Linked DNA regions of Oreochromis niloticus. The protein of the gene in region 1 interacts with the protein of each later gene in a biochemical or structural test. Links are inferred from orthologs where the notes say so. Each region holds a gene or a part of one and is shown in the gene's direction. Other genes may lie near its edges. The genes, in order: npr2, nppc and nppb.

Region 1 (10,700 bases):
GCAGTCTGTAGTGAAAGGGACCAGGATGTCCACAGCAGTCAGCTGAATTAAGAGGAAGCTGAAGTAAAAGCAGAATACAGATAACACATTTAGTTTGTTGCAGTCTTTGAATTTCTTGTAAACTCTGGCAAAGACTGATAGCATCCATCCTGTCTCTCTCTAGCAGCAGTACCTGCAGCAGAGTCTAGAGGGAGGCACAGAGGTTACACTGCTACATGTATTTTAAAGCTTTATTTACTTTTCTTCATCCATTACCTGCTGCTTATTTGGGTCCTTTCATTGGTACAGCACTAAGCATAGATTCCCAGCCACTACCTCTATCTCTTCCACCCAACCTGAGGTGGATGTTGTAGCTTGGGCCTGGCTGTGCTCAGCCTGAAAGTGTGAGGTCGGCCCACCACCTGCAGGAGGAGCTGTAGGGTCTGATGCAGTGTGGTCCAATCCCCAGTTACTAATATACATTTTTATATTAGAAAATATACATTTAATAATATACTATTCTTGTAGATTAGGCTAGCAGTAATTAAATCTGCTTTCTTGTGGGTCAATAACAATCTGGTCTTCTGGTCTGGGCCCAAGTGAGGGGAAAATTACATCCAGTTTCTATGTAGCTTTAATTAAGTGTTAGTTCTGCTCTGGATTTGGGTAATATTAATAGCTTCTCCTTGCTCTTTGATGTAGGCGCTGACATCATCATCACCTACTACACACCTCAGCTGCTCACCTGGCTGAAGGAGTGAAGAGAGATGATCTGGACCAGAACAGAGGTGGACCAACTGACAGGGCATGCTCGCTAAAAACCCCTTTAAGGGGGAAAAAATGAATAAAAGACACAAATTGTTTCGTTTTGTGCCTTTTTCTATTGTTTATGATCAGTGTCATGATAGCAACTGAAATGGCAAACCGCACATGTATCCACTAATTATTTTTAAAGCGAGTTCAGTATCATACATACCTGTCTGAGCTTATCAGGGGCTGATATAGAGCCGAACGCTGAGAGTGTAAAAGCAGATTTTTCATTGTGACTTCTGGGTGTGTAGGATCAGCGTTAACTAAAGTCAGTTATCTCTACTAATAATATATCTGTATGAATCATCCTAAAATGTCTGATATATGTGAAGTATTTCCAGAGAAAATAAAGTCATTCACTCGGATCTGTAACTGTGTGTATTATTATTTTTAGTTTTGTTTTTGTTTTTTCCTGCTATGCAATCATATTACTTGTGTAACCCACTACTCTCATTATATAGGTACTTGATTACATAGATAATCTTATTACATGAGTACTCTGATTACAATATTACTCAGATTACCATAGTACTCTGATTATACAAGTAATCCGATTGCACCACTACTCACATTACATAGGTACTTAAGAGTATGTTTTTGTTACCAGACATAAATGTGGCTTGCTGTGACTAAAGTTTGGCTGTAATCAGAGTACTGTGTAATCAGATTACCAATGTAATCAGACAAATTGTGTAATCAAATTACTCGGGTAATCAGTGTATTTGGGTAATACTGTAATAGAGTACTTAGGTAATCAGATTACTGAGATAATTAGAGTAATACTGTAATCAGATAATAATAATAATGATAATAATGGATTGCATTTATATAGCGCTTTTCAAGAGCCTGAAAGCGCTTTACAATTCCACTATTCATTCACTCTCACATTCACACACTGGTGGACGCAAGCTACAGTTGTAGCCACAGCTGCCCTGGGGCAGACTGACAGAAGCGAGGCTGCCATATCGCGCCATCACCAGTAGGCGGTAGGTGAAGTATCTTGCCCAAGGACACAATGACCTAGACAGGCAGTCAGAGTAATGTGTAATCAGATTTATAATGTAATCAGAGTACTTGGTAATACTGTAATCAAAGTACTCAGGTAATCTGAGTACTTGTGTAATCAGAGTACTTGGGTAATAAGATTACCTGTGTAATCAGATTACTTGTGTAATCAGAGTACTCATGTAATCCGATTACATGTCTACTCTGATTACACAAGTACTCTGATTACACAAGTAATTTTATTACCCAAGTACTCTAACTAGGGCGACCATGGCTCAGGGGGTTGGGAAGCGTATCTGCAACCGGAAGGTCGCCGGTTCGATCCCTGGACTCTCTGTCCTGGTCATTGTGTCCTTGGGCAAGACACTTTACCCTACCGCCTACTGGTGTTGGCCAGAGGGGCCGATGGCGCGATATGGCAGCCTCGCCTCTGTCAGTCTGCCCCAGGGCAGCTGTGATTACAACAGTAGCTTGCCTCCACCAGTTGTGAGAATGTGAGAGTGAATGAATAGTGGCATTGTAAAGCGCTTTGGGTGCCTTGAAAAGCGCTATATGAAATCCAATCCATTATTACAGTGTAATCTGATTACCTGTTTAATTTCAGTACGTGGGTAATCAGAGTACCTGTGTAATCAGATTACTTGTGTAATCAGAGTACTTAGGTAATCAGCGTACTCATGTAATCAGATTACTTGTTTACTCTGATTACACAGGTAATCTGATTACCTAAGTAATCTGATTACACGGGTACTCTGATTACCCAAGTACTCAGATTGCAGTGTAATCTGATTACCTGCTTAATCAGAATACTTGTGTAATCAGAGTACTTAGGTAATCAGATTACTTGTGTAATCAGAGTACTTAGGTAATCAGATTACTTGTGTAATCAGAGTACTTAGGTAATCAGAGTACTCATGTAATCAGATTACTTGTTTACTCTGATTACACAAGTAATCTGATTACCCAAGAACTCAGATTACAGTGTAATCTGATTACCTTTTTAATCTGAGTACTTGGGTAATCAGAGTACCTGTGTAATCAGATTACTTGTGTAGTCAGAGTACTTAGGTAATCAGATTACCTGTGTAATCAGATTATGGGTGTAATCAGAGTACTTGTGTAATCAGAGTACTCATGTAATCAGATTACTTGTTTACTCTGATTACACAAGTAATCTGATTGTGCCACTAGTCTCATTACATAGGTACTCTGATGACCTAATAATCAGATTACATGAGTATTCTGATTACTGTATTATCTGATTACCCAAGTACTCTGATTAACTGAGTAATCTGATTACCTAAATACTCTATTACAGTATTCCCCAAGTACCTGAGTAATTTGATTACAATAATTTGATTGCAAGCAGCATACCTAGTTATGAGAGTAGTGGTGCAATCAGATTACCTGTGTAATCAGAGTACTTGGGTACTTAGGTAATCAGAGTAATCAGATTATTCAAGTACTCGGATTACAGCATTATTACTCTGATTACTACCAACTTTTTAGCCACAGACCAAGTCCAGCAATTTATCCAGAAACTTTGTTGTCTAGTAACAAAAATATACTCTTAACTCTAAAATCGGTGGCTGGCTTGTTGATTTGTTTAATTTAATATCGCTACATAAAGTCAATTGCCACCTACTGAGCTTTATTGTTTTTTACTTTTATTTAATTTAATGAGTTTCGTCTTGTTTTCTGGGCGATATCGGAACAGTAGGAATAATCAGAGCACTGAACCCGCAGTGTTTCTGGTCTACGGTGATGATTTTTGAGAGATTATCTCTTAAAGGAATGTGACAAACATGCTTCTTTTTCTGTGAGGGTTTTTTTTTTTTTATTGAATTGTATTTCTAACATACTACGATGCAATGAACAGTTCTGTTATAATGATTATGCCAAACAAGCAAAATTAATTCTATGGTTGTTTTTGCAGCGTATAAAGACCTTGACTGCTGTCTTTTGAGTCGCAGAAAAGGTGTTAAATGAATCACGAATGTCTAATTCAAGGTGCTGCAGTGTGGGTAGAGGTGATCACAGCTGTGCAGAAAAAAACCCCCTGTAAGATGCAGCATCAAAACAGCAAACAGCTATTTTAATTGCTGCATATAACCTCTTCCTGCCTCTTCACAAGCCACATTTCAGATTATTGTCTGAGGAGTAAAGTTCCAGCTGAGCGGGAAAAGCCATTACGGTAGAGTCAAATATCAAAGAGGTGTCAACCTTACTTAGTACAACAATTGCAAAACAAATAATTAAAAGAAGTAAACTTAAACTAGAGGTGGGCAGAGCGATCCAAATATCGATAGTATCGATACCAACACTAGTATTGGTATCAGACTGATACTAGCAAGTTCAGTATGCAGCCTGCTGAACTGTGTTAATTATTTCTTTGGAACAAATAAACCTCAAACATGCACTATGAAAATTGTGTGGTTTAGAGACCGAAAGGTTTACATTCCAGGTCTCCAAAAACCCAGTTTCAAAACACATGAAAAGCTGAAAGGTGTGTTTTGTAGTGTTAACTAATTATTGTGGAAAGTAACAATCACAGTGATATAGTGGTGATTAAAATGTGTTCAGAATTTGCAAACTGAGAATTCATCTCATAAGTCATAGCACACTCCTCTCGTCCAATTAGCTGCCTGAATATCTTTGGCAACACTGGCCCTGTATTTACTTGGTATTGGATCGATACCAAAATTTGTAGTGTGGCACGGCACTACTGTGAATGAGGGAAAGTGTGAATGCTGAATGTTTTTGTTGAAATGTCCAGGCAAGTATATACATGTTAAATGACAAGATATGCGTGTTCAAGTAGCTTCAATTAACACAATTTTTTGATTTCTATATGATAATTCTTCATATTTAAACAATAAGAACAAGTAGTCTGATGTCCTGTAATCATTTTGAAATACAATAGCACATTAAGTATCGGTTTCGGGTCAGTATCGTCGATACCACCCTGAATTTTACTTGGTATCGTATCGGATAGGAAATCAGTGGTATCGCACATCGCTAACTTAAACATTAATGAATCATTCATTTACAAAAGCAGCGATGAAGAGCCTGAATTGAATTGAAGAAAATACAGTATGTGTGTAGCTTTTAAAAAAACAAAACAAAGTGTTGGACATTTTATTCATTTTAACATTAAATTTCCTTCACAGGTTTTCTTGGACCCTGTCCACGATGCTTGATGAATATATCTATAAAATACCTATAATAAGTATAAAGTAAACACTCTATCTGCTTATCTATTACTTCAGTGTGGGAGGTTTTTTTTTTCCATATAGCCTCACATTTTCAGTTTTTGAACTCCCTTAACATGAAAATATTCATTATTTTACACATATAAGGAACTTTTTTACTCCATTTTCATCATCACGAGGCTCCTAAGCTTATCCTCCCTTGTAGATGGGCTTTTTTAATGCCCGGAATGAATTCTGTGACATTTTATACAAACACTCATTTTACCAAGTGAATCAAATTCTGGACTTTGCTGATCCCCTGTTGTGACCAGAACCCAACAAGCAAAACACAGACAAAGAGTATGTTTACTTTACTTACAAACAGGAACAATTTACCCTTCCAAGAGTGTCTCTGTAAATACACAGACTAGTAATGCACATGAGATACAAAGTGAAAAGCAAAAACAACCAAAAATCATAACCTTTAAAGCTAAGGAGAATGAAAAAAACCTGAAAAAGTTGTAGTTTGGTGCCCAAAACAGGAGCAGCAACGTTCAGGTGTAACATCTGCAGACTGAAGTGACTTCACCAGCTCACCTGAAAGACCTTAAATCAGTTTAGTAACACCAGCACCTTAAAACTGACAGTTTGAGCAGCCTCAAGAACAGTCCCAAACTTATTCCTTCTAAACATGCTTGCTCTGTAACATGTGACACGGCAGGCAGGGGGCGAGCTAACTCCGCTTTTTAATGGGCTGTTTCTTCATACACTGCAAAAAATACCAAATATTTTAACAGGCGATTTGACGTGTTTGGATTTGTCATCTTCTGTGAACACTTCACGTGTATAATCGTGACTCAGGGCACCTTCTTCTTCTTCCTGATGCAGTTCATTTTACTTCATCTTTCCAAGCACATAAGTGACAGTCAGGGTCTGCCGTGTTTCATTTAAGTGGGCACAATGAGGTTTTTTAGATTTAAAATGTATTATAATCTGTATTGGAATCATCTTAATTCACTGAAACATTAAAAATTACCTGAATAAAGAAAATAAACTGGGACACGCTGATTTATTGACACTGTAGGGCCCACTTCTTGCAGTGTGTGACGTGTGGGGGCCGAGCAGAGGGCTGCTCTGATTTAACTTGGAGTCATCTGGATGTGTGTTATCACTCTCCGAGAGACTGTAAGCGTAAGGACTGCGCAGCTCTGAGAAAAGTCGCTTTGGAAGTACCACGAGTTCATTAGCGGTGGATTTTTACGCATCGGAGACGCATGGCACAACCGGACTGCGATGACAAGATGACGCATTTACCGACTCTGTGGCACTTGTGATTGAGAAAGAGAGCGAGAGAGAGGGAGAGAGAGAGAGAGAGAGAGAAGGAGACAAAGTGAGGCAGACGGTTTGGTGTCAGGTTGCCACATCCGGCCGTGTCTTCTCTCCAAACGGTGCGCTCTCCGTTGCCGTGCGCTTTCTCTTTGGGACGAGAAATGGGATGCAGAGGCGCGCTGGGATGCTGCGTGCTCGCCGCACTGTCTTGCTGGCTCCTTCCCGGCTGCAGAGGTAACATAACCGTGGCCGTGATGCTCCCGGACAACCACCAGAAGTACCCGTGGGCTCTTCCGCGCGTCTTCCCGGCACTCCTCATGGCGCACGAGGACCTGCACGTCAAACACAAGCTTCTGCTCGACCGCTCCATCAACATCCTGAACTACAGCACGGAGGACCCCGCGGCGGGGTCGTGCGCCGAGAGCCGGGCGCAAGTGGTGGCCGTGGACGCCAAGCTTTACATCCGCCCGGACGCCTTCTTCGGACCCGGGTGCGTGTACCCGCTTGCCTCCGTTGGGCGATTCGCATCCCACTGGAAAATCCCGCTAATCACCGCTGGTGGACCCGCGTACGGCTTCGACAAGCGGGAGGAGTACCGGACCATTGTGCGCAGCGGACCGTCCACCACAAAGCTGGGGGACTTCGCCAACGTCCTGCACACGCACTTTAACTGGACGTCCCGGGCAGTGGTGATATTTTACGACCGGCGGCAGGACGATCGGCCGCACTACTTCCTCTCTGAGGGGATTTACCTGAACCTGAAGGAGCAGATGAACATTACAGTGGGGGCCCACCCGTACCAGGAGGACTACAAGTACCACAAGGATGTCATTACTTTTATCAAGGAGAGCGGGAGAAGTAAGTTCATGCTGAGGGAGGTGTGATTAAAAGTTTGAAATCTAGGAAGTTAAAAATGGGTATCTTACAAACCAACAGAAACACCAGCTCTAAAAGAGTATGATTAAAAACCCCAAAACATTTTGTGTGTGTGTGTGTGTGTGTGTGTGTGTATCTTTTTTTCTGTGCGTTTTTATCTTGAAGTAAAGCAGATCTCCAGCTGGATATTATAAAGATAATGTCAGTGGATGGAAAGCGAAATTTCCATCATACTGGATGATCTGCATGGGAAACAATTTGGTTAAGTTTGCCTGCATGCAGATTTATTTCCCAATTGTTTGAGGGGGGGAAAAATCTATATTCGAAATGATTTAAGTGCATCAGACCGTTGTGGAAATAACTAGATGTCCACAACAGGCATTTTGCTTTTTCTCCCAGAATGAGGTCACAGTGAAGTTTTTTCCTAAGAAGATACAAACAGAGGTGGACTGGAATAGGTGCAGGGAAAGCCTGTTTACTCGGGAGTTATTACACAGGAATGTTTAGGCTGTGGGCAGTCTGCTGCTTTGGGTTTATTGCCTTGTGGAGGACCACCACCTGTGTTTTTTAAAGACACACAGAGAGAGGGAGAAAAGTTGTGAGTAAGCGTGTGTCCTTGCAGCCAAACAGTGCTGCTTGCTTTGTAATGAGAATATAAAGGAGGCTTACAATCAATTCAGCCTGGTCAATATTTGCTGTGCAGCCAGTTAAGTTAGGTTTATATCAATTATTTAAAAATCACGTGGAGATAAAGTTTCCAAAGAGAAAAAAAAATAGCAAAGCTGTTCGGGGGGTTTGCACAGGGACCCGAAAACAGCGACTCCCAGTTCATGCAGTTTAAACTACTACATTACTGTGCAAAAGTCTAAAGCCACCCCCCATTTATTCATATTTAGCTAGGACAATAGGAAATTGGTGCACACATTTATTGAAACTTGTGCAAACTTACATATAAATACAGTATATAAATCAAAAAAGAGTTTGTATGAGTCTAACAAGCTTGAAAAATCAATATTTGGAGTGACCACATTTGTTTTTTAGCACGCCTGAACTCTCTTAGGAAAGTTTTCTTTTAATTTCTTTAAGCAGTCTTGTTCTCCTGGCTTCACGAAGGACGGTCAAAGCTCTTGTTTGGATGTTGGCTGCCTTTTGCTCCATTCTCCATCAAGATAATCTCACACTGCTTCAGTAATTTTGAGATCCGGGCTCTTGGTGAGGCCGATCCATGACTGATAGTGTTCCCTTGTGTGATTTTCTATCCAGTTATGCTTTTACTGCATTGAGAATCTGCCTGGCATCATTGCCATCCTGAAGAGAGCACCGTCCTGTGTTAATCCCGCCATCAAGCTTGTCACAATCTCTAACATCCCTCAAACCACGATAGAGCCCCCACCGTGTTTTACAGATGGCTGTAGACACCCACTGTTGTACCTGTCTCCTTACCTCTTCCAAACATTTATCTGAACCAGAAATTTCACATTTGGGTTCATCACTTCCTCATACCTGTTGCCACTTTTCACTTCAGTTCTTGTGTAATTTGATGTCCCTCAGTCTTTTCCCACCCTTATAAATGGCTTCTTGACAGCCACCTGTCCTGAGATCCGTCCCTTAAGTTCTGTGTCCGGTCTTTGTTCTCTCATCTGTTTTAGATAGTGTTTCAGACTTGTCCTCAAAGCTTTTAAGGTCACACTGCATAGCATGCTAAGTATGCATATAGAAGCCCAACTTGTTGGGCTCAAAATACTATGTTATGTCTGTTGAACTGTGCTATTATTCACATTTTTTATTGCTTAAACTAAAGAAATGAGAACATTATGTGTTTTTTCAACAGGTTGCTGGTAATAAAGTACCCAACGAAGATTATACTTCTTTATACTTCTTTGCAAAGTTGTCAGTTATGTGTAGACACAACACTGTTTCATCCCTTTAGCTAGGTACCTTTTTTAGTCCTGGAATGATTCGGAGGTCATGTTAAGTGGTTCACCAAATAATAACTTCTTTTTTTTTTCAAAATGGTAAGGTGAAGGACTGGATGGAAAATTAGTGAAAAAGCAGCCAAATGAAAACTTTGAAAGACCTCTATCACACCTGGAGAACTGCTGCTCAAGATAGGGTTAAAAAAAACTGACAGAAAAGTCTGGCTATATGACTCGAGTCTTTTGCACAGCACCTTATATAAAATATAGATAAACCACTGAAACTGTTTGCTAAAAGTCCAAATAAAACTGTAATCTAAATTTACTGGATTAATAGTTGAAATGAAGTAACTGGCTAACATTTTCAACATAAAGTTATAAATAAACAGTAAAAACTGAAACTTCTAGCTAAGCTGATGATATGAAGAGCTGTTAAAGCTACAAACCGTACATAAATGGTTGAAATAATAAGCTTACAGCAAAAGTAGCAGCAGTATAGTAATAGTTGCTAGTAGTACAGGAATGGACCCCCGCGACCCTGAAAAGGATAAGCGAAAGCGAATGGATGGATGGATAGTACAGGAATGGAAAGCTGAAAGTTGTGCAGATACAGGTTTAAATGAGTTTGCTGAAAATGAAAAATGTTGAAGAGAGACGTATTTTGGAGTCCAGGGCTGTGGGTGTAGAGGAGATGGAAAAGGTTGGGGTCCACTCCACGTTTGATTAAATTATGGGGCATTATGAAACATGAAAACACAGTTTTCCCTCAGTGGAAACAAACAGAAACAAACTGCAGCCAGTAGAAGAGCTGGAACAAGACGATACCAACAATGCCACGGTGTCAGCAGACTATTAGATAGACTTAAAGCTTCAACCTTGAAATATTTTGTCCCACTGAAAAAACCCCCCCATTCATCTAGACGTCAACAAATCATAATACCGCTATTTCTTTAAAGGTAGCAGAAGGAGGCCTTTAAATCTCTCACCACTCTTCTGTCCTTAAGCTTTACGAACTGGAAATATCATGAGGCAGACTTGACGATTACTGCTCTTGTGAAAATGCATTTGTGTGGTTGAATGTCTTCTGAATGGTAAGGTTATCATTGGATCAGTCAACATTTTGTTCTTCACTTTAGATAACATATTAGATCCTAATATGTTATTTAAATATTAAATCATATTAGAATTTCCAACTCTTATTTTTAAGTCCTTCAACCCAGTTCTTCATCTGTACAGTCTCATTTGTATTGATACGCATCCGTGTACAAGAAATAAGTATTTTCCACTTTTTAAGGGATGAAAGAACGCAGTGTTTGGAGGTTGGAGGGGTTTGGTGGTGGATGTAATCATTTCACTCCATGCACCAGAGAAAACACTTAAGTTGTATCATTTTAAATACGTTATGTATGCATTATTAATTTAAAATATGTTATCATTAAAGACTATTTGGCTGTATTCAATAAAAACTATGTCGCTAGAAAATAAAAACGACTTGGTTATGCTACAGTCACACAACAGAAAACAGTGGATATTATTGTGACCGTTTGCAACAAACTTGTGATCTCGTTGCCTGTGAAATGGTTGTTTCTAGAAT
Region 2 (11,176 bases), on another chromosome or scaffold:
CACCTGCATTAGCTTACAAAAAGTTTGCTTTTAGTTGGGACATATAATGTTGCATGTGATGTGACTGCTAAGGGTGCATTTTTACATTTTTATTTAGGTTATAAGTTTTCCACAAAAATATCAGGACTAAAAAAATATTCCATGCAGCAAATTCACCTGATCCAGCCGCAAATATAAGTTTTATCAAACAAAAGAGTTTCAAGCTTAAAGTACAGTGTGGCTCTGTCGGCTGAACCCAAACTGGGAGTTGGTTCCAAAGCACAGAGGTCTAACAGCTGATATCACCACCTTCCACTGTACTTTTCAAAAGTAAAGCCCTTTTACTCAGATTCTCTACCGGGATAGTGTCGTTACGTGCTATAAGGTCTTCAGGCTATGATGATTTGGATGCCATGTCATCTGCCGGTGAAGGTGGAGGTTGGTCAGCTGTCATCTAGGAGTACTTCATGCTTCCATCTGCTGACAAGCTTTAATGGAGATGCTGACTTCCTTTTCCAGCAGAAATCATCACCTGCCCACAGTGCCAATACTACCAAATGCTTGGCTGATCATGCTACTACTATGACTGACCAGCCAGCCAATCCATGCGACCCAAACCCCACAGACTGTCAAGAAGAAGACAATAAATACCTGACCTAAAAAATACAGACAAACTGAAGGCTAAGAAAGCAACCTGATCACCTGCATGCCTCGCCGCACTGATGGAGTATTTTGCATATTAGTAATATAGTTTTGAGTATATAAATTAACACACTTTTGATCATTACAGATGTACATTTTTACTCTAATCATTTGAGAAACTGGATTTCTGATTTACTTGTACTGAAGTACAAAAATGTACTTTTTCACAGTATTCAGGTATTTATGATGATGCACTAGTGAGTGTGTTCCACAGTAAAACAAGTGTTAACATTTCTGAAATTATTACATACCCCTATAATATCAAAAAACATCAAGCCAGGAGACAGGAGACCCTACCTCCTGAAAAACGAGTTCATTCCAAAACGTGTGTTTACACAGTCATCTTACGCATTTTGTGTACATTAGTCAAGTAGCTCTGTGTTGCCAATAAAGGCAAGCGTGTTTGTTGGCACATGCAAAAGGCTTCAGAGCACTTGTGTAAAAAGCATTAAAATTCCACACGCAATAAAACCGTTATTTATAGGACCATAACAGCCTTGTAGTTTGTCTTACACAAACCCAGAGGAGGAATCAAGACACTCAACCCTCCCATAGACACTCAGTGCAAAGGCTACTGCAACACATGGTCTCTCCATACGTTTGCATAGCTTCCTGGTGCAAGTAAGTTAGGCTGCTTCATTTTCATTCAGCCACATCAAAGCTTAAAAATTTACTGAAAATTGAGCGGATAAGAGTTTGCGGGAAAGGCAGGGAGAAAAAGGGGGAAGTACAAAAGGACATAGCAAAATAGGTGCTCTCAGTAACCCGTGTGATGTCATTGGGAAAAGTGTGTAACATTGTTAAACTGTACAAAAAAAGGCAAACTTGTGACACAACACTTGCGACATGAAGAAAGAATGTGTCATTCACTTGTTAAAATTCAAAATAAAGGGATTAGCAATCAGTGAAAAATGTTTTGCGAAACCCAAAGATGTCATCATGGACACAAGGTCAGCAGAGTTCAGCTGCTCTGTATTGCTGTTGTAAAAGCGGATTAGTAAAATGGTTTTCCATGCAATTGAACATCTTTACTGCAGTTACCTTGGAGTGTGAATGGCCTTTTTAGCAGCAGTAGCTGCTAAAAACATATTTTTATTGAAGCACCACTCGCATATAAGTATGCTATCACATATGCAATGTGATGTGATGCACGTGTGTTGATTAGTTTCAGCTTAAATTATTTTTTGCACTAAAGAGTAACATGCTTCAATATAAATGCCATCAACACTGTGAAAAAAACTAAAACAAAAAAAAACTAGTAATAAAAGTTCAGATGTAACAGTGTGACTCATGTCAGAAAAGTACATCCTGTTGATGATTTAAAAAGCCTACTTTATTTCAACATTTTTTTTATAAGAAAGGAACAACCTTCAAATCTTTTAGTTTGTTTTGGGACTACATGAGTACAAATGTTTTGACGACAAATTTCATCTACATTTTTTCCTGTTACTCTTACTAACTTATTTAATTCAACATGGACCAGCAGTAAAACAGGTTGTGGGCAGGGTGCAAGGGGTGACCTGTGATGGCACAGGTTTTCCTGATACAGGAGGACCTGGCAGTGGCCTTCAGGGGTGGTGTTAATAACCCTCTACACAGCCTTCCTGTTCTCAGGTGTGGGCCCTGCCTACCAAATACCCAGGCAGTAGGTGAGCACACTTTCCACTGAGGAGCAGTAGAAGGCTATCAGCAGCTTCTGGTCTGGGTTATTCTTCCTCAGGACAGAGGAAGTGCAGCCGCTGCTGGACCTTCTTTACCAGGGCGCTGGTGTTGTGGGCCTAGGCGAGATCGGCGGAGAGGTGGGTGCCCAGAAACCTGAAGGTGGAGACAGATCCCATCCGTTCTCTGTTTATAATAAGAGGGGAGTGGACTAATGTGTACCTCCTGAAGTCCATTATGGGCGCTTTTGTTTTAAGGATGTTCAGCTTCAGGTTATTTTGTTTATGTATAAGTTGTATAATTCTAATGTTTTATTTGGGAACAGAATGGTGTGTATGTGTAAGTTTGGTGATGGAGTTTTTATTATGAATGAATGATGAATTTTTATGAATTATTATGTCTATGTTTTTATGTTTAAGGACAACAGATGGAAATTAGCCCTTGGCTATAATCTGGTATTTTTACATTCATGTAATTTTTTTTACATTTATGTTCATTAACATGCACTGTCCTAAATAAATAAATTAAATTAAATTTTTGGAGTCACAGGTGTGCAGGGCGTTCAGTAGTGGGCTGAGAACACAGCCCTGTGGGGATCCAGTGCTGGAGAGAGGTAGGGCCAAGTTGGGCTGATTGAGGCAAAATTAAGAGCTATTTATCATCACCACAGCTTACCTTACTCCGGCAGATTTTATTACTGTCATTTCAGAAAGTAAATATAATGTCAGCACAGGAGGTTTTGGTTAAAATTGAAGATGACTTTAAAGAAAACCTTACCAGGGAATCAGTGAAAATATCACAGTCAGATCACCCTCGAGCACAGTACATTAGATTAAACTCATGAGTCATTTATCCATATATTTGTATTGGATCATTTGTGTTATGATTTTTTTTCTGTGAAAAATAAAGTTATCGCAAAACTAAGAACACCCTGTAATTTTAATAACTTGTAGAACCGCCTTCAGTAACAATAACTTAAGGAACAGAAGTTTTCTGTATGTCTTTATCAGCCTTTTACATTTTTGTGGAAGTGTTTTTGTCTAGCTCTTACAACATTACATTAGTTCGTTTAGGTTTTTTGGGATTCATTTATGCACAGGTCTCTTAAGGTCTCGCTGCAGCATCTCAATCAGGTTGAGGTCTGGATTTTGACCATGGCAAAGTCCAAACCTCAACCTGATTCCTTTCTTTTTGAGCCATTCTGTTATAGATTTGCTGCTGTGCTTGGGATCATTGTCCTGTTCCAAACCCTAATTTGGCCCAAGCCTTAGCTGTCAAACAGATGGCATCACTTTGGATTAGAACACTTTGGTATACAGAGGAGTTCAACTCTAATGACTCCAAGGTGCCCAACTCCTGTGGCTGCAAAACAAGCCCAAATCATCACCCCTTCACCACCATGCTTGACAGTTGGTATAAGGTTTTTGTGTTGATATGCTGTGTGCTGCCAAGTGTGATGCTGTGCATTATGGTCAGACATCTGCACTCTGGTCTCATCTGTCCAAAAGACATTGTTCCTGAAGTCTTGTGGTTTGTTCAGATGCAACTTTGCAAACCTAAGCTGTGCTGGCATGTGCTTTTTAGACAGAAGTTTTCTCCCATCAGCTCTTCCAAACTTGTTTCTACTCTTTTTCTAATTGTACTATCGTGAACTTGAAGTCTGCAAAGTCCGATATTTAGCTCTTGTTTTTTAATTTTTATTTATTTTTTTGCACTGCTCCGACTTCAGAGTGCTATAAAAACTTTCATTATATTTTTCTTTTTATAGCTTTATATAGCCAAAACAAGTCCATTACTTTCATTTCAAGCAATTAAGAGAACTTCTGCATGTAGTGACAGTGATGAGTGTAGTAAGTTTGTTAGATTGAAGGAAAATTGACATTGTAATGCTTTGTCCTGTCTTTGAAGAGAAGCAAAGTCTGGATGCATGTTGCTCTGTTATAACATCATATATCACTGGCCAGTCATCTTGTTCATCTGTTCAGTTTATCAATGTCTCTGTTTTATGAGTTTATAGGGCAAAACCATTTACTTTATATGCTTTATCAAAGTAACGTTGTCTAATTATACACACAGTATTTTATTAAGCCTTCATAGTCATAATCTTTAATATACACCATAAGTGATTATTATTATTAACGATCATTTTTTATGGTGTGCAACCAAAAAGAAAGCAGAGTATTCAGCAAAGGCTGAAACATGGACACCTAATAATGACACTGCTGCTGGCTGCCATCCAAACATCATTTTTGCTGCTTGATTCAATGCAAATTCAACACACGTTCTGATTGACATTTTATGGCAGGTAGGCCAGCACTGCTACAATAAATATGATATATGTTCTGCAAAAAAATGCAGGTATACACTTTCCATATGCCAAACCTGCTCTAAAAAGCCTTTATAGGACTTTCAAATCCTGACGATCTGCTGATTAATGACTTAGTTTTACAGTATAGTATTGATCCACTAACATGTGACTTTGAGGGGTATTCGCTTTTCGGCATAGCAAATACTGCCACTCTGTGTTCCAAAACAGATGGTGCTGCCTGAGCTTTCTGCTCCACTATGTGGGGCCTCGACTACTCCAGAAACACTCCACACTGCAAAAAGTATATTTTTTTTTTCACAAGGGTTTTGGTATTGTCTCAAAATGTGCGCATATTCTTTAAATAGGTAAATTATTCCCAGTGGGGTGACTTTTCAGCTTAAACTTCCCTTGACAACATGCCGTTTAAGTTGTATAGTGATTGATTGCAACTTATTTTAAAACATTTTTAGATCATCATCATTTTAACTGCATATCACAAATTAATAGTGACAGTTCTATGCATATCTTAAAGCAGGTCAAGCGGCATATGTAACCAACCGTGGGTGAGCTTACGAGTGTTAGGCAACTATACATCAATGTCAGGCAGTACCAAAAAACGCTTCTTTATAGTTGAACTTTCTTGGTTTACACTGTTTAAAACACGTATGGTCAAACTTTTAGATTTAACATGGAACTACTCTCTCAACCCTGACAGTGAAGCAACTCATGCATGTGTCACACTTCTACAGAAGGGTCACTCTCTCACAGAGTTCCTTTTTTTAAAATCCTGAGCATCAGAAACTTTTCTTGGACACTTCCAAGGTGTTTCCACCGTATTCCCAGCCCCTATAGCCAGCTCCTTTATTCAGTTCTGGCTAACCAGTCATTACTGGTTGACATAAAACAGGTGCAGCAGTGCTGGACACTAAATTAAAAACTCTGGTTTTCTGCCAAAAGTAGACAAACCTGGTGCAAATTGCTTAAATACAACTACATTCATTTATATGTTAAAAAAAAATAATCCCCAGCTGCAGATTAAAGCTAGATTTTTTATACATTTTAGTGCTACAGTAATTTTTTCCGGTAAGACTTACTTGTAACACTTTAAACATGAAAAAGCATTCATTTATTGATATGATGTATAGAAGAATATAGCTTGAGAGTGCTCTTTGTTGATTGGCATTCTCTAAACCAGTAAGAGGGGTTGAAAGGCTACGAGTCATAAAGGCTTTTTCTTACACCAGATTTTATACCGACACCCATTCAACTGTTCTTCTCTGGACTTGTGGTAAAGTAACATAGTCTGTATGAAAACCCATCGTCACTCATTGGTTGAAGTCAGCGGCTAATGCCAATTCTTAAGCCTAAAGTAAGTATAGACATATAGACTTCTGTACAGTTTCACTCATTTGTGCAGAGTCACCCTCCTCCTGGTTTATAGAAGTATCGCTGGTTTAATATCCTGCATATTGACTGCACTCTGCAGACTCACAGGCTAAAATTTAAGAAAGCAGCAGCTTTTCTTAGTGACATGCCAACTTTGATTCAAGAACAGTATAACACCATAAATTATGGCTGGACACTGGTGTGGTAATCATTGCTTAGGGTTCATGTCTGTGCTTCTGTATGGTGCTTGGACACTGTACAGTTATGCTACTGAACAGTCAGCCTCCTTTCTGTGTTGGAGGTGACTGTCTAAACAGCTCCACACATCCAGTGTGTGTCGGAGTAGCCACAGTAGTTCTGAGATTCTTCTCTGTAAGTGGGCTACCTGATCTAAAGACAGAAAACAAACTGTAAGATACCCATGAAACACAAAACCATCTAATTAAAAGGTTTATGGGGAACTGCCATTTACATCCAGACACATGACATGACTTATAATGAGTGTCTCTGTTTTTTTATGAATCAGCATGAACCGTCTGAAGTTTTTTCGGTGTGAATCCCCCTTAGCTGATGTCATGCTCTGATGTAAATAACGTCGAGCAGATGACTTAAACTGGGTTGTTTAATAATTCCATCTCTGTATGTTTGCATTCTTCTGTATAATAATAATAATAATAATAATAATAATAACAATAATAATAATAATAATAATAATAATAATAATAATAATAATAAAGTTTTACCCTTTAAATAAATAAATGAAAAACGCGGGGCTTGAGTGGCGCAGTAACACATCACATTATTTCTGGTAAAATTCCGCTTGGTGCCTTCCAAAAAAGTGATTAGATGAAGAAAATCACATTTGAATTTCTGGAAGGTATCTAAAAAATGACCTAATTCCTTTAATTCCAGTAGCAGACTCTGAATTTTCGCTTCGTTAAAGAAAACAGGATATGTCATCCACGCGCAGCATATTGTATGTCTTTTTAAGATGTTCCGCAGGACAGGCGGTTGGCATCCTAGAATTCATTTCACTGCCAAAGTCGCTCTTCAGCTCTTGACGCGCAGCCTTTGAAACCACCTTTGGTTTCAGCTGTTGCATCTCAGCCAGAGGTCTAAAAGCTTAAAGTCTGTGCCTTTTGATAGCTTATAGCCTATATCATTTTCTCTAACACCGCGATGACCGGAGCTTGTATCATTTAATTAATCCCTGGCGTGACGTGCTTAGAGGCAGGTACAAAAAACAGTGAATAGGCGAGGAAGGAGAACCATTACGCAGGTTTTCATGACATCACCATGGGCTGGCTATAAAGCGGCGAGGATTAATACACAGAGTTAGAGAAGCACTTGAGGAGCTTTGGAGTAAAAAACGGACTCTCCTTGTGTTTAGAAGCTGATTGGCTGAAGCTAACGTCCTTCGATCTGAACTGCAGCGCAGAGGAATCCCCGAACAACTGCTAGACTTGTCAAAATGAACTTGTCATACTTTGTAGCATGTGGACTTATGGTCACCTTACTTTCAGTGAGGATGGGGGCAAAACCTTTAACTCAAGCGCAGCAGAAGGTAAGAAAAAGTCACTTGTATTGTTATTACTGACTAGGAGAACCTTTTGATTGGTTTGGACTAAAGCTGCTGGAAGCTGAATACTGAATAAGCAGCTGATCTGTGGCACAGGTCCTCCAGGACAGTAGCTTTGCGCATCATATTTCACAATTTGGTTCTTGTTAAGCTGTTGGGGAAAATCTGTCTTTTTCCACACTCGGAGTGTAACACCCCTGTCCACTTGCACTTTATTTACAAACAGACGGCATGTTCAGTGACATGCAACCGAAACAGCCGGTGAAAGTTTGTTTCCGAGCATCCCTTTGATATTTTTAGACTTTAAATCGCCCCAATGCGATTTTTTAAATGAAACCACATATGGGGAAAACATTAAAATTCTTGCTTTACAATAACTCTGAAAAGCGATTATACTGACTATCAACATCATTTTTGGAATTTTATGTATTTATTAATTGTTGTCAAAATAAGATTCACCAAACCAAAACAAAATTGTGCGTAAAATCGCAATTACGCATAGAATTGGCCCGAATGAATAAAGCTGACCCTTTAAAAAATACTCGTTTGAAATAATGTTGTAATTATTTGCTAAACTCACTAAAATTTGGGAATGTTGGAGGTCTTCGTTACAGTCTACTTTACGAACAGATAAGTAAGCTACACGCACCTGTTTTAAGTTTGTTTATTTTTTTCTTCACTTTGAGAGCGAGGTGTCAGAGTAGGTAACTTAATAAAACAGAAGTACTGCACCCTCTCGGGATGTTCCCTTCTTCAGGGGTTTCCTTCGAGGTTTGAACCTCATGACTGGAGCGTCTCGTGGATCTTTCCCAAAGTTGTTTTTGGTTAGATGATACAAGTTAATGAATTTTTGAGTGCCGTGCTGTGAGAAAAATGCCAACGCGTTTTCCCCCCTGGCCATTACGTTTGTGAAAGCGTTAGAATATATGCCAAGCTGAGGTTTACCTCAAACATTTAGCATATAATGACTGCTCTGCTGAAACGGGCACAAACCATAGATTTCACTTTCATCAAAAGCATTTGTCTTTGCACAATTTATTTGCCTGAGGGAGAGATTGTTTATTTATTTTCTTATCTTTCAGTCTCTTAGAAGTTTGCTGGGCGAGGAGCTGGCGGAGTTTCTGGAGTCGGAGGAGAGGGAGAGACGGCTCGACGCTGTGCGCACTCGGATACGCTTACTGCGCGATTTACGGGTGGACACCCGGCCCAGAGGCATGTTGGCTCGTCTCCTCAACGATCAACCCCCAAACAGGAAACACAAATCGGGAAGCAAGAAGGCTGGCTCCTCGTCACGGAGTGGCTGCTTCGGACACAAGATGGACAGGATAGGCACCATCAGCGGCATGGGATGCTAGGGCTGGAGCAGCGCTGCAATGAATGGTGAGTGGTCGCTCATATCAGTCCCACTTTAACATTATGCAACACTAACTGCAGCCACAAACAGTGACATGTAAACAGAGCCCAGAATGAACAGGGTGAAATGAAATGAAAGAATAAATGCTGAAAGACAAGACGGAGACGAATTACAATCAGGGATTTAAAAAAAGAATGGCCTGGTTAATAAAATGGGCATAATAATTTATTTTTTAATATTTTATTTATTATAATTTCATGTTGGTATTCCTCACGTTAAAAGGATGATTTTACAGGATTATCTGTCATATACCTAAGACACATGTATTTATGCAGCATTGCATGGTTCAGCTACATGGAAAATATTGTGGTTCACTAACTGCCTTTGACATAGAAATATTCAATCTAGGGAAATAATCAAGCCTTAACCTTGTAGCATTACCTCCTAGGACAGGATAGTCTTAGGATAGTTTAAGTGGATAGCCCACTTAAGCTGATGTATGGGAAAGAAACCAGTGAGCATTTAGGAAGTCCACTCTTGTATCTGTGCACATCATCATGAATGATCCCATCTGCTTCTATAACACAAGAACAATATATCACATTTAAGAAAAAGGGCAGGGAGATATCGAGGACGGAAGTGGGGTTGCAGAGACACATTCACGCACATATTTGGTTGTCAAGATCTTTCTTGGAAACGCATTTGTTTCACTAAGTGTTTTTAACATAAACTGAAAAGGGGGCTGTGTGGGTTAATTAAGGATTGGGGAATCTAAGTGACACACGATTAGTCCTGAGGCTTCACACCTTTTTTCGATTTTATGGTAAACTCTGAAATCCGTATGGGGGAGTGTTAGTGACTAACAATGGGTGAGTGTGTTTTTCATTGGTTAACACCATACGGGTGAGTTAATCTGAAGTAAAGTGGTTAGATGAGAAGTGAGTTAATGAGTAAAGAACCAACAAGTAAATTTGGAGATTCCCTGACTGATACACGTATTACGTTAAGAAAAGAGCGAATAAATGAACATGTGTTCATTAGGCTGACCTTGAAAGACTAACCTTTTGCTTTTGTTTTCCTCTCTTTTTCTAGATCTCTGGACGATGTGTTTGTTTGGATGACAAAAGTTGAGTTTGTTCTTACCAGAAGGGGAAAATATAGAAAAACTCATCATGATTGTTCTTTGGTACGAAAGTCACCATGACCAGCATAAACAAAGACTTGGATGACAATACTACAAAATCCTAATATAGATCTATATATATATATACAATAAATATGCAGGTATATATACATATATACAGTACATATATGTATACCATACAACATGGTCAACAGATACAAACACAGATGCGTAGTACAACATGGCGGACAATGGTGTAAAAACTACATACCGCAAAGCTGTATATTGTTGCTGCTGCTGCTGCTGTACATTCATGTACTTCATCTTTCCCTGCATAAATGTATTTATGTTTAAAATCTATTTATATGTTTATAAAAAAAAGAGATATTTATAAATATGAATTTTATTTATGTAACATTTTGGAAATGGATGCAAACTGTAGGTCAATTCTGTTTGTTGCCTTTTTTTTCCCATTTGTCTCAAATAGTTGTAAATGTTTTCAAAAACGATAAAACGGACATTCCATGTGCACTTACATCTTTGATCTCGGTGTCTTTGTGTGTTCCGTGAAACTAGTCAATTCTAGTTGGTGAGCATTTTCTGCCTGGCTTCTGGAGGTTTTGTCAGAAGAGAAACAACGACTGCCCTGCTGTTAGATGGAGCGCCATTCATTTTTATTCAGTTCAATTCAGTTTCATTTCTATGGCGCCAATTCACAAGAAACAGTGACCTCGAAGCGGTTTATGTTGTAAAGACCCTACAATATTAGAAAGAAAAGAAAAACCAAGCAATCATTCGACCCCCTCTTGTTGATGGTGGGAAGAAAAAACTCACTTTTAATAGGAAGAAACCTCCAGAACCAGGCTCAGGGAGGGGCAGCCATCTGCTGTAGCCGGTTGGGTTGATGTTACAAAAGGCACACTTTGGTACAGAGAGCCAGAGTTTAACATTTACTAAAGATTTTATGCTGCTTGGATTTTGAAAAAGTGTTTCAAACATTAGCAAATATCTGAAACTCTGTGTTATCAGATAAAATGTTTATATGAAACAATAAGGATTTGTTGAGTGCTGCATCTATACTGCTGC
Region 3 (9,802 bases), on another chromosome or scaffold:
GAACAAAGAGAAACTTGTAAATAACTCATGAAAGAATAAAGTTACATTGAAACCAAGCACACCATTGTTTTTCTTGTGACATTAGCAATAAGTTTGATGTGTCACATGGCCCTCTTCCTATTGAAAAAACAAAAGTTGTATCCAAGATGGCCGACTTCTAAATGGCCACCATGGTCACCACCCATCTTGAGGAGTTTGCCCCCTCACATATACTAATGTGCCACAAACAGGACTTTAATATCACCAACCATTCCCATTTTATCATGGTGTATCCATATAAATGGCCCACCCTATATATCTTACAAAAAGAAGAAAAGAAGTGCTTCATGACTGATGGCTGATCCTGCGAGTGGGCAGGTAGAAGTACAACACACAGAAACAGTGAGACTGGTGAAATATGTGGCCTGACAAACACACAGTCAGTCAGGATTAAATGCCAGTCCCTCAGCCAACTAACATCTAACAGTTGGAACTGAATAGAATGGCATTCATATCATGCTTTCCTAACTTTTATTGACCACTCAAAGGGCTACAACCAAATATAAACAATAAAAAAGGTGCAGTTTGTTTTCACTCATTTGAATAAACATTTATGTGATATTTGTGTGATGAAACCAACTGAATGTTTACATTTACATTGTGTTGAAAACTACAATTATAAAATAAAACACCCATGAGTTGTGACAAAAAGTATTCGTTTGTGGTCAAGTATTTCTTACCAAAGAGGAAAGAAAGTACGTTGTACCTTCTTATCACTTAACACAGTTGTTGCTTGACCGTTATTAGAGCCTCACTTAAAGTTGCTACCGCAGTCAAGGGCAGAAGCTATTAGTGAAACGAAGCTAATTAGTAGTGAAGCTTGTCAGGTGGGCATGCATACACTCGTAGACTATTAAATGCATCCTTTAACTACTACTTCTCATTTTTTGGACCCACTTCCCCATGACTATTGTTCCAACACAGCACAACCACTCCGAACCATGTCAGGGCCTTTTTAAATTGTATGATTGTTTTAATCAGTTAGACACAAATACCTCAAATAATAAGAGTGAGTATCTGCTCAAACACTGGATCAACCTTCTGTTGTCATTAACTGGACGATTTGCAACAGTCAAAATTAAAGTCCACAGAATAATTATCTGTTCTTAATGCCCCCAATAACTCTCACAGACAACTGCTTTAAATCCCTCAATGCATGAGCAACAAAATTCTATCAGAAAAGCAAGAAACCCCAAATTTCCATAGCAACACTACAAAATAGTAATTGGCACGATAGATTAGAAGCACTACAAATTTGAATTACTATGTCAAAGTTACTGTAATCAACTAAAATATTTAATCAAATGGATACAAAAGGAAACCTACAATAACTCACGGATAGATGTAGATCTTAGGAAGTCAGAAATTACAAGTTGGTGACATCCTGGTGGAAAGCAAACAAAATCATTAAATTGTCACCCTCACCATGTATTATTGTCTAAAGTCTATCCTTTAAGCTCAGGTCCTCTACCAGAGGCCTGGGAGCTTGAGGGTCCTGCGCAGTATCTTAGCCGTTCCTAGGACTGCGCTATGCTGGACAGAGATCTCTGATGTTGTTCCCGGGATCTGCTGGAGTCACCGCACCTAGTGCTCCAATTACCACTGGGACCAGTGTTACCTTCACCCTCCACATCTTCTCGAGTTCTTCTCTGAGCCCTTGATGCTTCCTTTTTTCCCTAATGTTGCTGTCATTCAGTATTGCTACTTCTATTACTATGGCTGTCTTCTTCTGCTTGTCGACCACCACTATGTCCGGTTGGTGAGCCATCACCATTTTCTCGATCTGTACCTGGAAGTCCCACAGGATCTTAGCTCTGTCGTTCTCCACCACCCTAGGGGGAGTCTCCCATTTTGACCTTGGGACTTTCATTCCATACACAGCACAGATTTTCCTGTATAGTATGCCAGCCACCTGGTTATGGATCTTGAGCTGAGCGCTTGTTTCTGTGCTGCCATAATTAGTGCCTAGTTCAGCCACTGGTAGAATTTCTGGATTTCAGCCACTTCCTCTACATACCGTCTAGGGGCCTTTCCTTCCATGATGACTCTTCCTTTTGCTCCGCTTCTTTCTTGGGTTTCTGTTGCCAGAGTTATTCATTAAGCAAGTGGTCAGTTGTTCCCATCTTCCTGCAGCTTTCCTAGCAGCCTCTTCATGGTTCCTATTTGGCTCTGGGATTCCCAGGTACTTGTTCTTATTTTAGTGTCTGCAATGTTGCCTTCTGGTAGAATGATCTCCTCAGTTCTGACTACCTTCCCTCTTTTTGTTACCATCCAACTACACTTCTGCAGTCCAAACAACATCCCGATGTCATTGCTGTAGATCCTCACGGTGTGGATCAGTGAATCGATGTCTCATTCACTCTTGGCATACAGCTTAATATCATCCATGTAGAGGAGGTGGCTGACCACTGAGCATTGCTGTTATGTGTTGCATCCTTTTCCCATATGCTCTTCCAGCACTGCTCCATCTCAAGCCTTGGTGGTGGCGTTCTCATATTGTTCTCTTGCCACTGAGAGTACACCTTGGATGGTTCTGTGGAGAACAGCTGGTTTATTGTCCTGCCCTCTATCTCTCCGGTGTACCTCTTCAAGAGGCTGGCCAAGGCTGTGAGTCTTTGCTTGGCAGTTTCCATGGCCTCAGGTATGAACAGCTTGCTGTAATTCTTAGGCACCTTCTTCATCGCACCTTTCTGCAGTTCCGATAGTTGGCTAACCTCCCTCCTGGCTAACTTGATCCTAGCCTCTGTTCTATTTCTCCACGGAGGGTACTGCTCCTTGTGGCTATTCATTTTGTAGCCAAGCATCTCACTGATCACTGCTGCCGTGGTGTAGATCAGCTGGTTAGTCTCGGTAATGGTGGCAGTAGGTATCGTCCGTAGTGCTGCATTCACATCATCTAGTAGACCTTCAGAGGGTACTTCACTTAATCTCGTCAGGTTGGTACACAGCTGACAGCCCTATTTGACAACTGTTCAATTATTGTCAGACCCCTAACAAGATGGCGCCTGTTATTGGCAATGCCACTGTCAGGGTCTCTATTTTTCTGTTTTTTATGGCATTACATATTTTGCTGCTGTCTGTGTATGAGATTACAGCTACCTACGTTTAAACCTTATTTCAGATTAAGTTAGCAATGGAGTCTATGGATGAAAATGGGAAACACTTTGGAGGCTTCCCTTCACCATTTGGGCGATCAGCTGTTACCCATAACCTCCAATGGTTGCTTGTGTTATGCAGACTCTTTCCCTGACAAAGAGTCGTCAGGGGAAGTGAGGAAGGAGAGTGGGCATCCAAGTGAGATTACAGAAATACAAGAGTAGCGGTGATTTAGCGTCCTTCTTGGCGCTCCCGGTGTTGGATGTTTTAGCTAAAACGGACCTCCAGCTGAATGTATGGCTTCTCCGCAGAGGTTTTGGCAGGACACCGTGTTTGAGACCAGTTTTCCCACACCATGTGAGTGACCATTTCATTGTCCCACGGCTTATGAGAAACCATATGAAGTCCTGGGGAGTGTACAGGGCACACTTGCACCAAGCCCCTTAGGATTTAACCAGAGATGCTTCAGCCTGGCCGATTAAGACGACAATATTAAACTCCTGTTCAATCTCAGTGAATAGCATTGTCTCTCCTCCAACTCCGTGTACACCTGTCTTTTCAGATATGGATTGCAATGACTTTTAAAGATTTTTCCAAGATAAGATCAACCTTAGAGGAAACATGTCTCCCTTAGATAGCCCCTTCAACTGTGATCTCCCACACCCCATAATTATGGAATCTTTTCACCCAGTTTTGTTAAAAGATCAGAAATACTAACTCAAATGAAACCCTCAACAAGTCCAGCTGATGTCTTACCTACTTCTCTGTTTCTTAAAGTTTTTGACACCACTGGGCTCTCTCTGGTCACATTGAAAAACTGTTCCCTGCTACCTTGCTCTGTCTCCAGGTGCTTTAAACAGGTGGTTATTCAACCTCTGCTGAAAAAGCTTAACCTGGATTTGACACTTCAGACAAGCTACAGACACAGCTCAAAACTTTTTTCATTACTACAGTATCAGAAAAATCATTTGGTCACAAGTAAAGAAGGCACTGGAGAAGGATAATATTCTTGATAACTTTCAACTGGGTTTTAGAAAGTTACACTCCACAGAAACAGCTCTCATCAAAGTCACAAATTACCTTTTGATGGCCGCAGACATGGGTGACCGGTCAGTCCTTGTTTTATGGGACCTTAGCTCAGCCATTTACTGTTGATCATCAGATCATAATCTACCGCTTAAATCATATGGTAAGGATATCTGAATCTGTCCTAAAATGGTTCCCCTCATTTCTGGCGGATATAACACTTTTGGTTTCAGTAGGAAGCTTTCAGTCAGATGAAGCTGAATTTTCATGTGGAGTTCCACAAGGATCGGGTTTAAGCCCCTTGTTATTTTCATTATATATTCTGCCTTTAAGCCTTATCATTAGTAGTTCCAAAATTATTTCCTACCATCTGTATGTAGACAATATCCAACTGGACATCTCCTTTAAACCCTGTGAATTAAACAAATTAGCTGTTCTAATGGACTGTCTTAGTGCGATTGATGGTTGGATGACAAACAAAAGACTGTGTGTTTAATTCTTGCTCCAGAGATTATCAAGCCCTAAATCAGGCAACATCTGGGTTCTTTCTCATCCACGGTAAAAGCTAATGCTCGGAATCTCTAGTTAATTTTTTTTTTATCAATCTCCGTCTTTTGATATTCATATCAATTCTGTGACCTGCTCTCACTTTTTTCATTTAAGAAATATCGCCAAACTCATGAGTATTGTCTCCAAAGGTGAACTGGAGATGCTTGTTCATGCCTTCATCTCCTCCCGATTAGATTATTGTAATGCACTCGATTACTGGCTTCGCTGGCTGGCTTCGCTGCCAGCCTCTGTCACACCAGTGGCTCTGTTTAGATGATGGGCTCCTCTCCGGCCCCAGCCACTACTGGAATAGGTAATGCATGATTAAATGATGCTTGTCGGTTGTGAAGATCAGCCTCCCCTGCATCCACACCCTGAACCCGCTGCTCCACCCCACCACTGCTGGATTCACCTTCTTATTTGGATTCAGGGCTGAACCTGCTCTCATCTGCAAGGAAATTTGAGGTACCAATGGTAGACCTGCTAGTTCTAGTGTTTTCTGGGTCCATTCATGACAGTTTTGTCTGAAAAATGCACTAGTGGCTCACTGGTGGTCATTTTGTAGGACTCTGGCAGTGCTTCTCCTGCTCCACCTTGCCCCAAACCCAAATACTGTGATGATCCTTTCATTTTTTTAGAGGAGTTTATTCTGAAGTTACTTTGTTTACAAAAAAGTGAGATTTTTGTTGTTGTTGTTATTAATGAACTTATTGTTTTTCTTGTTTGTGTTCATTCAATTAATGAGGATTCTGTGACTTGGTGGTCCAAATGATACTGCTTCAATAATAAATACAGTTTTATTTATTTACACTTGCCAAAATCCCAGCAGTGAGTTTGACAGTTACTATAACTGCATGAAATATAAAAGACTTCCTGTACTTGTCTGTGTGAAAGCAGAGCTGAGCAACATCAGTCTTTTAGAGACAGTACTTCACCTAAATTCATAATCATTTAATTCACTGCTATATTTGATTAAAGTTATCACAAGGCAGTGACTTGTGAGTGATATGTGTAGTGTTTTGTTTTTCCTTTGCTTCTCACAGCAGGTCAGCAATGACAGTTCAGTTTATTCTCATACATATTCTGGATGCAACATCAATTCAAGAAAACACCGACAATTAAAAATGTTGTAATTATCCAAAGGTGACAGACTTTAAAATACGCTTTCAAGAAAAGAACATTAGGCAGTGTAAACATCACATCAGCAGATTGGACTCCTCATTTTTGCCACTATTCCTGCCACTAAAAGATGATCTCTCAGAACAATTATCAGCAGGCGACCGTACAACTATTACATATGTGTCTTCATTTAGTAACACTATCATGTTGTCACATTAGTTTACTACTTCCTGTAACTCAGTGACAACAGTGTCCCGTGTGAGGTGGGAAGGCTCTGGAGAATGTTTCTCAAGCAAAGTAGCATATGGAAGCAGCTATGTCATAAGAATACTAGCATACAATGCTTTAAAAGGAGCATTTTCCGACAGCTCGTGTTATCAGAATTAGGTGTCAGGCATGCCGGTCCAATTCCTGGCATACCTATGTGTGTTAACCTTAAGTATAAAAGAGAGTGCTGCTGTTGGCTCCAGCATCCAAACACCTACAAGTCAAAGAAGAAAAAGAGAATTTATCCATTCATCCAACTACTAACACGAACAGCAGCAACTCAGAGCATCATGCGTCTGTCTTCTATGTGGCTCTGTAGCCTCCTTCTCATTTTAAAGCTGCAGCTGACTAGCATGTATCCCATCAGTACTGGCTTGACTGACACTGACATGGACATCTTGAAGGTAAGTCTCCTCACACTAACTTTTTCTTGAAAAGGTTGAGTCTGCCTGGGAATTTTAGGCAATCTGTAGCAGCAACCAGAACAAGGAACTCAATTTTATTTATAGACTTTAATGTTAGTTATTCACGTAAGATGTTGAACAACATCCTGCATTTCCTTCCATAGCTGTTCCCAATATTTAGCCTTGATATCTCATGTGATAAAGCATAGAGTCTGATCATTTTCATCTTACCTGTGCTCCAATATTGCTTCTAATAATCTCAATAAACTGAGACATAAATTGTTGACAAATACATTTGAGTGCCTCTGTCTATCCTCATGGCATAGTTAAATTGCCATGTTTATTATTTAAGACCCAGTACAACTTTCATCTGTGTGGATCTTTAAAGGTGCTCCTCAGCAGACTGGAGGAGTCTGTTTCAGAACAAATGGCAGTGGACCAAAGTGCCCCTGGACAGAGGGATCTTCTAGACAGCCTGAGCACAGAGGACGCAGGAGATGGACCTCAGCCAGACGCTGGACTAGATGAAGCTGAAATCCGGGAGTTTCTTTCAGCCAAGAACCTCAAGAGTGTCCGCAATGATTCATCTAGGAGATCTTCTGGTTGCTTTGGGCGACGGATGGACAGAATAGGCTCCATGAGCTCTCTGGGTTGCAACACTGTGGGAAGATACAGTAAGTTACAGTAACTTCACTACAATAAGGTTAGAGTAATGTAGCACAGATTTAACTCTTACTCTCTTACTCTTCTCTTGCAGATCCAAAGCAAAGATGAAGTCTTACCATCTAAATTCCAAAACTGCAACGTCTCTACACAAAGATACTTTTATTTAAAGGCTATTTATTTACTAATATTTATTAAATACTGTTGCTCAGCAGAATATTTAAAAAAAATGGAACCAAAACTGTTCCTTGTGTACTGTTGAATGTTTTAATAAATGTTTACAAATGCAGGTCATTGGCCCTCATCACTGACCATCAGACACAGCCAGCATATTTCAAAAAGACACTAATGTACGGGAGACTTTTCCTTTGAACTGTCAAATATAAAAACACAAACTGAAACATGTAGTGTCGTCTTAATGAAGAAGCTCTTGTCATTCTGAGTAACTAGCAGGAGCAGGGAGCTCTATGCAGGACGTTTATATACAGAATTCATTTGATAACAGATTTATTTTAATGTCTTCATAAAAAAAATGATCTGACACAGACCGCGCATGAACATTAATGAATATCCTGAACTATTTATTGGTGATAATGATTTTCCATTCCCATTTATTTCACTGCCAGTGCATTACTGGTGATCAGCTGAGTAGTTTAGTGCATACGGTCTTAGCTTGGCACCTGATTGTGTCTTCGAGGTTGTTTAAAGGCTTTCTAACAAGGAAATGATGTACAGTGAATTACAGTACAGCTGAGCACTCCATCATCAGTGCTCCACTGATTAAAGCTACAATTACATCATCATCAGTGAATTTGAATTTGCTGACATTTTTAGAGGGTTCAAACCACCTTTCATGGCCACATGGTTTAGATGGCTGTTTGACTGATTGATATATTGATTGTTTCCAACAGATGTAGAGTGGCTTGCAAAAGTATTTGGCCCCCTTGAACTTTTCCACATTTTGTCACATTACAGCCACAAACATGAATCAATGTTATTGGAATTCCAGGTGAAAGACCAATACAAAGTGGTGCACACGTGAGAAGTGGAACGAAAATCATACATGATTCCAAACATTTTTTACAAATAAATAACTGCAAAGTGGGGTGTGCGTAATTATTCAGCCCCCTTTGGTCTGAGTGCAGTCAGTTGCCCATAGACATTGCCTGATGAGTGCTAATGACTAAATAGAGTGCACCTGTGTGTAATCTAATGTCAGTACAAATACAGCTGCTCTGTGACGGCCTCAGAGGTTGTCTAAGAGAATATTGGGAGCAACAACACCATGAAGTCCAAAGAACACAGCAGACAGGTCAGGGATAAAGTTATTGAGAAATTTAAAGCAGGCTTAGGCTACAAAAAGATTTCCCAAGCCTTGAACATCCCACGGAGCACTGTTCAAGCCATCATTCAGAAATGGAAGGAGTATGGCACAACTGTAAACCTACCAAGACAAGGCCGTCCACCTAAACTCACAGGCCGAACAAGGAGAGCGCTGATCAGAAATGCAGCCAAGAGGCCCATGGTGACTCTGGACGAGCTGCAGAGATCTACAGCCCAGGTGGGGGAATCTGTCCATAGGACATCTATTAGTCGTGCACTGCACAAAGTTGGCCTTTATGGAAGAGTGGCAAGAAGAAAGCCATTGTTAATAGAAAACCATAAGAAGTCCCGTTTGCAGTTTGCCACAAGCCATGTGGGGGACACAGCAAGCATGTGGAAGAAGGTGCTCTGGTCAGATGAGACCAAAATGGAACTTTTTGGCCAAAATGCAAAACGCTATGTGTGGCGGAAAACTACCACTGCACATCACTCTGAACACACCATCCCCACTGTCACATATGGTGGTGGCAGCATCATGCTCTGGGGGTGCTTCTCTTCAGCAGGGACAGGGAAGCTGGTCAGAGTTGATGGGAAGATGGATGGAGCCAAATACAGGGCAATCTTGGAAGAAAACCTCTTGGAGTCTGCAAAAGACTTGAGACTGGGGCGGAGGTTCACCTTCCAGCAGGACAACGACCCTAAACATAAAGCCAGGACAACAATGGAACGGTTTAAAACAAAACATATCCATGTGTTAGAATGGCCCAGTCAAAGTCCAGATCTAAATCCAATCCAGAATCTGTGGCAAGATCTGAAAACTGCTGTTCACAAACGCTGTCCATCTAATCTGACTGAGCTGGAGCTGTTTTGCAAAGAAGAATGGGCAAGGATTTCAGTCTGTAGATGTGCAAAGCTGGTAGAGACATACCCTAAAAGACTGGCAGCTGGAACTGCAGCAAAAGGTGGTTCTACAAAGTATTGACTCAGGGGGCTGAATAATTACGCACACCCCACTTTGCAGTTATTTATTTGTAACAAAAATGTTTGGAATCATGTATGATTTTCGTTCCACTTCTCACGTGTACACCACTTTGTGTTGGTCTTTCACCTGGAATTCCAATAACATTGATTCATGTTTGTGGCTGTAATGTGACAAAATGTGGGAAAGTTCCGAATACTTTTGCAAGCCACTGTATAACAAGTCACACTGACTCCACCACACTTTACACGTCCCCAGCTTGTTCAAATAAATTCCCCTTTTAGAGATAATAAAGGGGGAAGAAAAATCACATGTGATTTCTTGTTACAGGCACCGA

The links.
Region 2: the proteins of npr2 (region 1) and nppc form a complex in vitro, tested with the Homo sapiens proteins (3 studies listed by BioGRID). The link is inferred for Oreochromis niloticus from reciprocal best matches to the Homo sapiens genes NPR2 and NPPC.
Region 3: the proteins of npr2 (region 1) and nppb form a complex in vitro, tested with the Homo sapiens proteins (3 studies listed by BioGRID). The link is inferred for Oreochromis niloticus from reciprocal best matches to the Homo sapiens genes NPR2 and NPPB.

What each region holds. Positions count from the first base shown.
Region 1 is NC_031972.2:31,169,355-31,180,054, forward strand, and holds the start of npr2 (atrial natriuretic peptide receptor 2), read left to right. Parts: upstream 1-6,119; 5' UTR 6,120-6,475; coding exon 6,476-7,172; intron 7,173-10,700. Other genes in the region: alad (delta-aminolevulinic acid dehydratase), read left to right, coding at 682-740. UniProt on the Homo sapiens protein: Receptor for the C-type natriuretic peptide NPPC/CNP hormone. Has guanylate cyclase activity upon binding of its ligand. May play a role in the regulation of skeletal growth.
Region 2 is NC_031980.2:34,352,343-34,363,518, forward strand, and holds nppc (C-type natriuretic peptide), read left to right. Parts: upstream 1-7,086; 5' UTR 7,087-7,505; coding exon 7,506-7,598; intron 7,599-8,695; coding exon 8,696-8,968; 3' UTR 8,969-8,993; intron 8,994-10,059; 3' UTR 10,060-10,625; downstream 10,626-11,176.
Region 3 is NC_031984.2:35,528,099-35,537,900, reverse strand, and holds nppb (natriuretic peptides B), read left to right. Parts: upstream 1-6,294; 5' UTR 6,295-6,386; coding exon 6,387-6,500; intron 6,501-6,888; coding exon 6,889-7,174; intron 7,175-7,257; coding exon 7,258-7,274; 3' UTR 7,275-7,452; downstream 7,453-9,802.